Linked DNA regions of Mus musculus: all the other regions are reported to be linked to region 3. Evidence: microRNA targets listed by miRTarBase, many of them from high-throughput screens and not tested one by one. Region 3 holds a microRNA gene; each other region holds the end of a gene's coding sequence.

What was found. Region 3 holds the annotated microRNA mmu-miR-124-3p (UAAGGCACGCGGUGAAUGCC, at 2,041-2,060, shown strand). A microRNA usually pairs through its seed, bases 2 to 8, with sites in the 3' UTR of a target mRNA and lowers its output. Matches are read on the target gene's strand: a 7mer-m8 pairs with bases 2 to 8, a 7mer-A1 pairs with bases 2 to 7 and ends in A, and an 8mer does both.
Region 1: miRTarBase lists Ppm1f as a target of mmu-miR-124-3p. Seed matches in the 3' UTR shown: 8mer at 1,533-1,540.
Region 2: the mRNA of Kif5c is a reported target of mmu-miR-124-3p. The part of its 3' UTR that is shown has no 7-base or 8-base seed match.

What each region holds. Positions count from the first base shown.
Region 1 is chr16:16,923,373-16,926,713 of GRCm38, forward strand. It overlaps Ppm1f (protein phosphatase 1F (PP2C domain containing)), which reads left to right. Exons shown (of 8, transcript NM_176833.4): 8 at 268-3,341. The coding sequence ends at 650. Among named protein-coding and RNA genes, the nearest start is that of Ppm1f, 29 kb to the left of the region's middle.
Region 2 is chr2:49,758,439-49,761,779 of GRCm38, forward strand. It overlaps Kif5c (kinesin family member 5C), which reads left to right. Exons shown (of 26, transcript NM_008449.3): 25 at 372-484. The coding sequence ends at 478. Among named protein-coding and RNA genes, the nearest start is that of Gm46738, 13 kb to the left of the region's middle.
Region 3 is chr3:17,793,683-17,797,023 of GRCm38, forward strand. It overlaps Mir124a-2 (microRNA 124a-2), which reads left to right and starts at 1,980; the gene lies at 1,980-2,088. It overlaps Mir124-2hg (Mir124-2 host gene (non-protein coding)), which reads left to right. Exons shown (of 3, transcript NR_033490.1): 2 at 911-1,331. It overlaps Gm51272 (predicted gene, 51272), which reads right to left and starts at 2,059; the gene lies at 2,003-2,059.

The DNA of each region.
Region 1 (3,341 bases), not on the chromosome of region 3:
CCTCATAGCCTGTCTTTGTACTGCTCTAGCAGTCTATCTGTAGACACACTGGAGATGCAGCCTTCCCTGGAGTGAGATCTGCTCTGTGGAGCTGGGGGGGGGGGGAGGGTGTGACTCTCCTACAAAGAGGGTGGGAAGCACTAAGCAGGTGACCCCTTGAGAGCCAGCTGGGCTCCTGTACCTGCATGCCCTTGGGGATGGTGATATGGGTTGGTTCTGAGCACACGGGAAGTAAGAAACAAGGCTCTTCTGTCTGTTCATTCCCAGGGGATGTCTTCCAGAAGCCCTATGTGTCTGGGGAGGCCGATGCAGCATCCAGAGAGCTAACGGGCTCAGAGGACTACCTGTTGCTTGCTTGTGATGGTTTCTTCGATGTTGTCCCCCACCATGAAGTCACGGGTCTCGTCCATGGCCACTTGCTCAGGCACAAGGGCAATGGGATGCGTATTGCTGAGGAGCTGGTGGCTGTGGCCCGTGACCGGGGCTCCCATGACAACATTACAGTCATGGTGGTCTTCCTTAGGGAGCCCCTGGAGCTGCTAGAGGGTGGAGTCCAGGGGACAGGGGATGCCCAGGCAGATGTAGGAAGCCAGGACTTGTCCACTGGCCTCTCAGAACTTGAGATCAGTAATACCTCACAGAGAAGCTAAGTGGTCCAGGCCTCCAGGCCCCATCCGGACTCTCCCTCTGCCCTCGTGATCCTCCCCTTCAAAGACCTTAGATCCAAAAGGTATAGTGGGCAGGGGTGCACACTCTCACAGCATTCCCTTAGCACCCCAGCCCTTCATGTTGCCTACCACAGCCTGTCCTCATGGCTGCAGAACTGCAGTAGGCAGCTAGTGGATCTCAGAAGGAAACATAGGAAAATGGCCTCACCGAAGAGCAGATGGCTGAGGTGATCAGGGCCGGACAGGTCTGGGAACAGAAACCACAGGCACCTGCTGGTAGCCTAACCAAAAACACAGGTCAGGTCTTGGAGGACCCTCACACAGATCCTGGAATGAGATCTGCAGCCAGGTGTCCAGCCCAGGCTTGTGGCTTCTCATTGTACCCAAGGCTGGGAGGGTTTGGTCTGTACTAACACACAAGCTCGCAGTCCTGCTTGACTGCTGGCTTCCCAAAGAGGAGACATTGGTCTTGCTGGGAGGCACAGCAGGAGAGTGACCCACTGCCACTGCACTCTAACTGAGTACTAAGGCCACTAGGGCTTTCTAGACCTCGCTTTCCCCTTGAGCTTCCTGGGGAGGTGAAGTGAGGTGTGTGTGTGTGTGTGTGTCTTTGTGTGCTTAGATTTATTGCAGGGAAAGGTCTAATCCAGAATCAGTATTCAGGCTTTGTCATGTTGTATCAGTGCCAAGGTGACCCTCAAGGTCATGTAACTTAAGCAAAGCTTAGCATTTATTTTATTCCTGAAAACTTAAGTATTTTACTTTTTTGTGTGTTCGTGGAGACATTTGCAGTATTAATGATTTTATTTTTCCTAAATCGGGATGGAAACAAACTTTTCCAGGTTATGTTAATAAGCCACTTAAGTGCCTTAAACAGCTTTGGTGTAGATGAGAATTGCTGGGTCCGTCATGGATCCTGATAGGCAGACGTGTTGAGGTTCTCAAAGAGGCTGCATTTGTTGTGGGAAGGCACACTTTCAGCCAGCACTCTTTCTGGGAAAGTCCTTTTGTGCGTCTGGGCACCTCAGAACTTCCTTGAAGTGATGGGTAAAGGCTGTGACTATGGGCACCTGGGGTGACACTGGCCTCCTTGTCCACCTTGGAGTCTGGCTGGTTCCCAGCTGAGAGAACCTTACTGCTCTTGGCTAGAAGATTGACACACTCAATCTCTCTTGAAACTCTCTTAAGTGTGTTTGCAGTTATGTTGATTGAGTTGTTGAAGACAGTGCTTAGGTGAGGAACTTGGGCAAGCCCAGCAGTCCACCATCTTTCTCCTGTGACTTGTGTCCTAACCTGCTAGACTCTGTCCTGACCTGAGCAGCATGAAAGACCTCCACATCCCTAGAGCAGTGATGGATACAGTCAGGCAAGGAAACCAAGTGAGGGTTGGGGGGGATACCAAGAATAGAAGGACTAGGAGGCCCTCAACAAGGGCCAAGCGAGTCAAGGCTGCTCTCTGCAGACACTGGCAGGTCCAGAGAATAATGGTGGCTTAGCAGAGGCTCAGGGAAGGATCAGTAGGAAGAAGGGTGGCTGTGAGGTAGGTCCCCATGAAGGAGACATAGTTCACCTGTAGAGTGAAAGCCCTAGCAAGACTTGCAGAGCTTTGTTCATTGCACCTAAGCCCTCTTTGAAAAGAAGCAAGGGAGCTCATACTTATTCCTCTGAGGCAAGTTCACTTCCAGCAGTAGGAGAGCGAGCCAGCCAAATGCAGCTGGGCACCCACCTGTATGCTTGCCATTTACCCATTCCCACAGCAGGGATGGAAGAGCTGGGGCCATGTAGTTGATTCCTTGATCAAGTCTCCTGATAGGAACGTGATCACTCAGATGGCTGCCCACCTAATAGCTAGGTATTGCTTAACTTGAAGGCCTGCTGCCTTCCGGGGGGGGGGGGGGTGTCAGAATCCAGCATCCTCAGTGCCATCTCAACACAGGGTGTGGTTGTTGGTCCAGCCTGCCTGTAGCAGTGACCTTCATAGAGGGAGATAAATTGATTTTGGTTTTCTCCCATTTTTGCTAACCTGATCATTGCTGGTAAGAGTGGAATTTGGGCCTCCTTGGTGGTCTGGATTCATACTCGCATGTAAAGATGTGCCAAATATCAAGGCCTCAGTGTAAAGGGAAGCCCCTTTCCCAGGCTTGTCTGAGTGCCTCCCCCACCCTTCCCCCTGTCTGGCAATGGTCTGGGACCAACATCAGGCACTGCTCCATCCTGATCTAGTGGCCAAGGAAGACCACATTCTCCTACTGTTGAGGGCTGGCCTTGAGCGAGTTCCTAGGTACAGAGAACTCTTTTTGTCTGGACTGGAGTTGCCAGTACCAAGCCTACAAGACTTGTTGGCCACCTCCTCCTCAGAGTCTCTTCCCAAAAGAATCCCCTAGCCAGGATAATGGGTGGCTTAGTAGAGGCTCAGGGAAGGAACAGGGAGAAGGGTGGCTGTGAGCTCAAGTCCCCCTCTTTGCCACCATCACATTGTGTGAGCGGAACCAGTCACTGCACCTCTCAGGCCTCAGGGAAAGGCATGGAGGGCATGCATAGCATTACCAGGAGCTGCCAGAGCACGGGAGCCCATCCTCCACCAGCAGCAGAGAGGGGTTAAGTATTATTAGTGTCTATTCTTAAAATTAAGTGGGCTGGAACAGAGCTGAGTTACAGGCGCCAGTGTCTTAC
Region 2 (3,341 bases), not on the chromosome of region 3:
CAGAGGACCCAAGTTCAATTCCCAGCACCCACATGGCAGCTTGCAGCTGTCTGTAACTCCTGTTCCAGGGGATCTGACACACATTGGCCAGATATACATGCAGGCAAAACACCAATGTACATAAAATACAAATAAATAAATTATTCAAGAAAAAAAAGAATCTTTGTTTTTTAAAAAGAAAAAATAATAGGATGATTAATATATAAGTTCTCTCTCTCCCTGAATTATGTGGGGTGTCCTTAGTTTATTTTTCAGAGGCCAGACCTGCTATGCCCAGGAAGGTCTGGGGGTAAGTAAGTGGTGCAATGTTGATAAACCCATGACTGGTCGTCACCAATGATGTTCTTCTCTCTCCTTTCTCTGGGATATAGCCAAGCCCATCCGCCCAGGCCATTACCCAGCATCATCTCCGACAGCTGTCCATGCCGTCCGAGGAGGAGGAGGTGGCTCTTCAAACTCTACTCACTACCAGAAATAAAGCAGAGTGAGTCCTGCAGCCTGGGGTATTTTCTCTTTGCAGCAGCCCCGGGGCCTACCTGGGGGCATTGCCCTCTTGACACTCTGAAACCCTACCCTGGCCTTTAGCCATATTCTCTAATAGAGATATGTTCATCTCTGTTCCAGGAAGAGGGCTGGGATCCAGGTAAGAGAAATCTGGGCCTAGCTTTGCCAGCCCATATAGCCAAAGGATCCTCTAGTCACAGGGCTGGTGCAACTCTGAGCCAGGCATGGCCTAATCACCTCTCAGGTTGATGAGTGCTTCATCTAGGGTTTGGACTGTGGGACTTCCCTCCGCAGCTGAATCTACAAAGCGAGACAGAAGTAAGGGGTGGCTTTAAGTCTCAGGAATGGGATACAATGAGCGGGTTATGAGTCATATTTTTATCATTATTGTGAGCCTCGATAAATGGGGGTTTGAAGAATGTGTAGTTTATATTTAAGTGGGGCTAGACCACTTTTTCTTTGAGACAGCGAGTGGTCTGTGAGCCCCAGTTCCTACCACTTGGATGTTCATTATTGCTCTGACAGTAAAAGAGTGATATGCTTTTGGGAGAGAAACAGGAAGAGGTACGCCTGTCCCTAGTAGCTGAATACAGAAAGATTCCCAGTCAGGCTGGCAGTGGATAGTAGGGGGCTCAGAAAACCGCAGACTTGGAGTGTGTAGATGGAAAGGGATGATCACAAAGTGACTCCTGGGCTCTGAGCCCTCACTAGGGAGGCTAGCTGACAGAGCAGGGGAGCATCAATCAAGGCATGCCTTGGTGATCCAGAGCAACTGATTTAGCCAGTGCTTTTAGAATCGCATTTGAAGTGAATGGTCCAGGGCAGAATGACGGCATTACTAAGGCCCAGCTGCAGGCTTCAGGAAGGGTGCTTCTGTGTAGCTTTACATAAACAGCCAGGAATTAGCCAAGGTCTGGCCAGGTGAGTGGGAACCAGAGGGCAGGCCTAGGCCGTCTGCACTGGGCCAACACACTGGGAGTATCACTGTATCTCAGTGAGTTGGACTGTAAGTCACCCATTCAAGTCCAAAACGTGCTTCTAGTCTGAAATAAAATCAAATTGGATATTACTGAATTGTTTTTGATTGCATGTTGTCAGGACCAAGGACAAAATCTGAAAGGTGGCTATTGGGGGCTGTTTAGGAAAAAAAAAAAAGCCTCAAATTCTTGTGTGGGCTGGAGGCAGAGGGCAGGGGTGGGGTGTGCACTTAGCATGTAAGGGAACTGGGTTCAGTACAATGCAACAGTAATAAAGGTACCAGCTTAGGTAGGTAAAGGACAACAGGCCAGGCTACTAGCGGAGTGGGGCCTACCTGGACTTCTCTGTTTTTAACCAAGAATGGCCAGTGGTTTTGATATCCAGCAAAAAATATAATACCTACTTCTCTGTAGTAAGCAGGGCTCATATACAATGATAGTTTCTCATGGGCAGGAAGTGCAAGGGCTGGGTATAGTTAGTAAGGTCTGTAGAGACCACAGAATCTCAGACTATTAGACTCTGTCCTCTGTGGGTGCCTCCTTTCCTTGGCGTTGCCTCATGGCCTCCAGAATGACTTCTGCTAGACCTTCAGCTCCGTGTCTTCTTTGCAGGAGTTGTATCCCAAGAAGAAGCCAGGGTGAGGCAAAGGCAGCTCTCCTGGCCACAGCAGCCTCCCTCAGAGTACCCATGCAAAACTGAAGTCTAAATGCCTGGATCAGAGGCATGTGGCCACATAGGAGACTAGAAAAGGCAGCTTTATCTGGGTACATTGGCGCCCCAGAAGGGAGTTAGGTTTTATATTGTTGTGAGCATAATACTTGCAGTGGTAACCTAATGGGAGAAAGATCATTTCTGACTCCTGGTTTAGAAGCCTCAGTGTCACAGAGGGGAAGGTGGTAGAAGAAGCTTAGTTCCTGGAGACAGGAGCACTATACGTCATGTAGGGCCAGGATGCAGAGAAGGCGGCAGGAAGAAGGGATAGGGAGAGGTTTCAAGGACTGCACCTCCTAACAGTTCACTACCAAGTGTTTATCAAGCACAGACTACGGGAGAGGGATTTAGACTGCAACAAGAGTCATGTTTTTAGGAGAATAAGAATGGATGGTGGGGTGGATACTTAGCAGTCTGGGCAACATGCAGTGTGTAGGTTGTCATTTGATAAAAGCACATTGTGAGCTCTGACCTTCCAACAAGTTCTTAGTAAATACACTGTCCCAGGGTTTCCAGACTATGTTTTAAATCCCTCCTCATGGAATTCAGTAAAACTCTGCCAAACCTACACAAGTCCGGGTTGACCTGGGACTTGCTATGTAGCCCAGACTTACCTTGAACTCACAACAGGCTGCCTGCCTGAGCCTCCTGAGTGTTGGAGTCACAGGTGTGAGCTACCACAGTAGATTTAAAACTCGACATTTTGTGTAAGGTTGATCATTTGTCACTGGTATGACCTCTTATACTGGAGACTGAAAAGTCACAACTTCTCTGACCCAGAACTTCAGAGGGGGTGACCTAGATGTCTATCTAATGCCAAGCATTAAGTAAGCTCCCATATCACAGCAACAGTATGTTGTCCTTAAGAGCTCCACCAGAGGTTTTGAGTTTCTGTACTGTGCCATCATTTACGAAAGGAAGTTTCCCTCTATGACCAACTTCTGAGAGCAACAGTGATCCACTGGCACAGATATTTAGAAGGCAGCTTGACAGCCACATCACATATCTTTAATAAAACCATGATAGCTGTTTTCCACTGTGGCCTGTGAACATCCCCAGCCTCAAATTTTTGTTGTCTCTTACAGTACCAGAAGCAAATTCTCCCCTGTAGAGTGGTTTAAGTCTAGTTGGAAAGCAGTTGGTCGTAC
Region 3 (3,341 bases):
GTGTGGTGCGTGCAGGAGAGTGTAAGCAAGGGCAAGGAGGGTGCCCTTTGCTTTGCCCAGGCGCAGCTCTTGGGGGCTGCGCGCCTTCTGCAGCTCTTTGGTTTCAAGGACACAGCGAGCTGTTCAGGACTTTGGGAGCCAACATCTGTCTGACTGGTGACGTCAGCAGCCCGTGTAATCCTCTTGTGCTGAAGGCAGATGCCTTATTTGTTTGGCTGGAGCGAGCCATTAATCCCTAATTCTGGATCAGCAAGCGAGGGGGAAAGACCGGACCGCTACGATCCACCCCCTCCCTGCCCCCACCGCCCATCCTAAAGCACCTTATATCGCGGAAACCACTCAGCCTCCTCTTTCCTCCGAGAACACGCGGAGCAGCCCCTGAAAACGCTTTGGTCCTCTGCAGGTTTGAGCAGAGCTAGCAGCTCTTTCGCCTTTGGATTTCTAGGGCTATGCCTATATGAAATTCTTTATTTCATCGATCATTTCGATTTTCATGCGAGAACTCTTCAGTCTTGCAGTTTGCAGGATTCTAAACCAAGAAGGGGTGGAGATTGGAGAATGCGGTTCTGGCGTGTGGTCTGAGGGAGGGGTTAGATGGGTAAGGGCGCGCGGGATGCGCAAATCGCTGAGACTGCACAGAGGACAATCTGAGGACTCGCTTTCAAGACTCCATCTCAGGAAAACATTTCTCTCGTCCTGACTGCATCTTCTCACCTTCCGAAGCCGGGATTGAGTTGGGAACTCCCCTGTCGCCCCGCACATTGCAGGGGCTCCCCGAGCTCGATTCTATAGGTCCGGACGGCCGGTCACCTTGGCTCCCTAGAGTGATTCCTCCCTCCTCCTGTCCCTCCTCTCCAGTCTCCCCCTCCTCCCTCCTGCTCTAATTCTGCGCTTTGATTCTGTTTTTCAGGGGGAGCGCTCTGGGGTCTCCGCACAAAACCTGCTTTTGAGCCCTTTGGCTTTCTTCAGGCGAGCGCAGTCCGTCCATCCCCCTGGCCCACCCAGCCGCAAGGGATGCTGTGAAAAGAGCCGCTGCTTGCCGCCTCCGGCCTGCCGTCCAGAGGGCTCCGCCCGTAGAGGTCAACTCCCCTCATTCTTCTTCTTTCCATCTTGCCCTCCCTCCGCCGAGCCCAGACTCGGATCTCCTCCTGACTCCCGCCGCAGTCAGAGAGAGCGCATCTGCTGCGCTGCCCTTAAATCTACGCCCAGAGCGGGCTCAGACCCGATCTCTGCTCTCCAGAGCCGGAGGAAGCCCGAGCAAGCAGCCTTTTCTCTTCGCAGTAAAATCATAGCCAGACCAGATGGGCCCCAGCTCTCCCGGGACTCGGCAGGTGCTGTTGAGTTAATTTTTCCGCAATACAAAGAAGGAGGACCCAGCCGGCCTGGGATTCTGATCTTTTCCCAAAATTTCCCAACCAAAATCGGGCTATCAAAGGCGTATACGTGTGTTTGTCGGACATACAAACATGCATGATTATATTCGCTTTTTCTGCTAGATCTCTGGCAACAGGGGATGAGTGACAAAGGTTTCTGCAGCAGAACACTCATGGTGTGGTCCTTAAAGACTTGCCTTTCCTTACAAATGTCTTAGGACGGCATTCAGGGCGAACCAACTCAGTTAATTGCCTTCAGTAAAATAACACGATTACGAAATTAGATCTGTACCAGAGGGGTAATTAACTTCGATCCATGTCATCATTTGAAAACTAGATTTATAGACATATGTATGGGTTTTAGGTGCGCTGTAAATGGCATGCAGATGTATGCATAAGAATCGCAGACTCATGCACCCGCTACTCTTCAACCTTGCAGACTAATTAATGGCAACTCTGACAGATGTGGCGGGAGGAAAGCTGAGGTGGGAGTACTGCTCAGAGCTACAACTCTAGGAGTAGGGACTCCAAGCCTAGAGCTCCAAGAGAGGGTGAAGGGCAGGGAGAAAATTATAGTAATAGTTGCAATGAGTCACTTGCTTCTAGATCAAGATCAGAGACTCTGCTCTCCGTGTTCACAGCGGACCTTGATTTAATGTCATACAATTAAGGCACGCGGTGAATGCCAAGAGCGGAGCCTACGGCTGCACTTGAAGGACATCCGAGAGAAGTTAGGAAGGGTGGGGAGAAACAATTCTAGAATGAACCCATCCTGTGCGACACAAGGACCCCTCGCATTGATTCAAAATCTTTAGAATACAAGACAGTCAAATGTTTTTCAGCGAGAATCTGGGAAATCCGCATGCATACTCCCAAGGGGAATATTAGAGGTTTCATTGACAGCTGTCAGGAGAGCTGTAGTTCCCATTGGTGCAAACGGTCTAAGAGATGGCACTCAGAGAGTGCTGGCCTTTTCCAAATAAAATTCTGGGTCGAACTGGGAAAACAAAACGGATGAGAAACCCCAGACCACACTGCATAAGAAACCTCAAATGACTCAATTATCAGTGAAAATAGGACCCCCGCCCCAAGCTTTTCACTATTCTCCCATTCTTTACCCAGTCTCATGGTAGCCTTGACTGGATTTAAAAGGCCAAGGCAAAGTGACAATACCCAAATCAGTCAATATTGTCCAATAAGAGGGAAAGGCCAAGCCAGGAACTCTAAGACTTGGTAAATTAATGTATTTGGAAGACCATGAGGTACTTAGTTAAGGTAGGTTCCATAACCCGAAAGCCTAAGAAAACCACCGCTGAGAAAGAGCCTTGGTGGAAGTCTTTGTTCTGTGGTGGCCTATCTGGCCTGGGAACAAAGGAGAGGCTGGAGAAGGATAACCCAAAGTGGCCGCACCCTCGCCTTGCTGACAGGATCATCTTCCTCTTCCTCTTTCTTTTCCTCCTCCATTACCTCCTCCCCCTCCTCTTGTGGTAATTCTGCAAACAAGGCAATAGAATTATAGAATCGCTTCTTCTCTAACCCAGCCCCATACCCCAGGATATTAGTTAACTTACAAATAAAAACCTTGAAATACGGAAAGACAGGCTAAACAGTATTTTGCTGAAACCATCCACTCTGACAATCAGCTGATTTGGCCAGAAACCCGAGTAGTTAACAAAATGTGCTAGAGAGAGATTAAATAGATTTTTTTTCCTCTTAAATCACAATCTTGAAAAGAGAAACACACGGTTTTCAGTTGAGGATCTTATCTCAGATATGGTCACCAAAGATACCTCTCAAAGGACCCTAGAGTGTGCCTCAAAATATATTTAAAAGGTTCTGACTGAGGTTGATTTAGTGACCAGAGCAGGCAGGAGTAGAGAAGCCTGCAACCACTCTCGTGGCTCTCAGCAAGGCTTTCTGTGGGACAGCTTTCCTTACTGAGTTCTGAGGCCAAGGCCCACAGAGTGG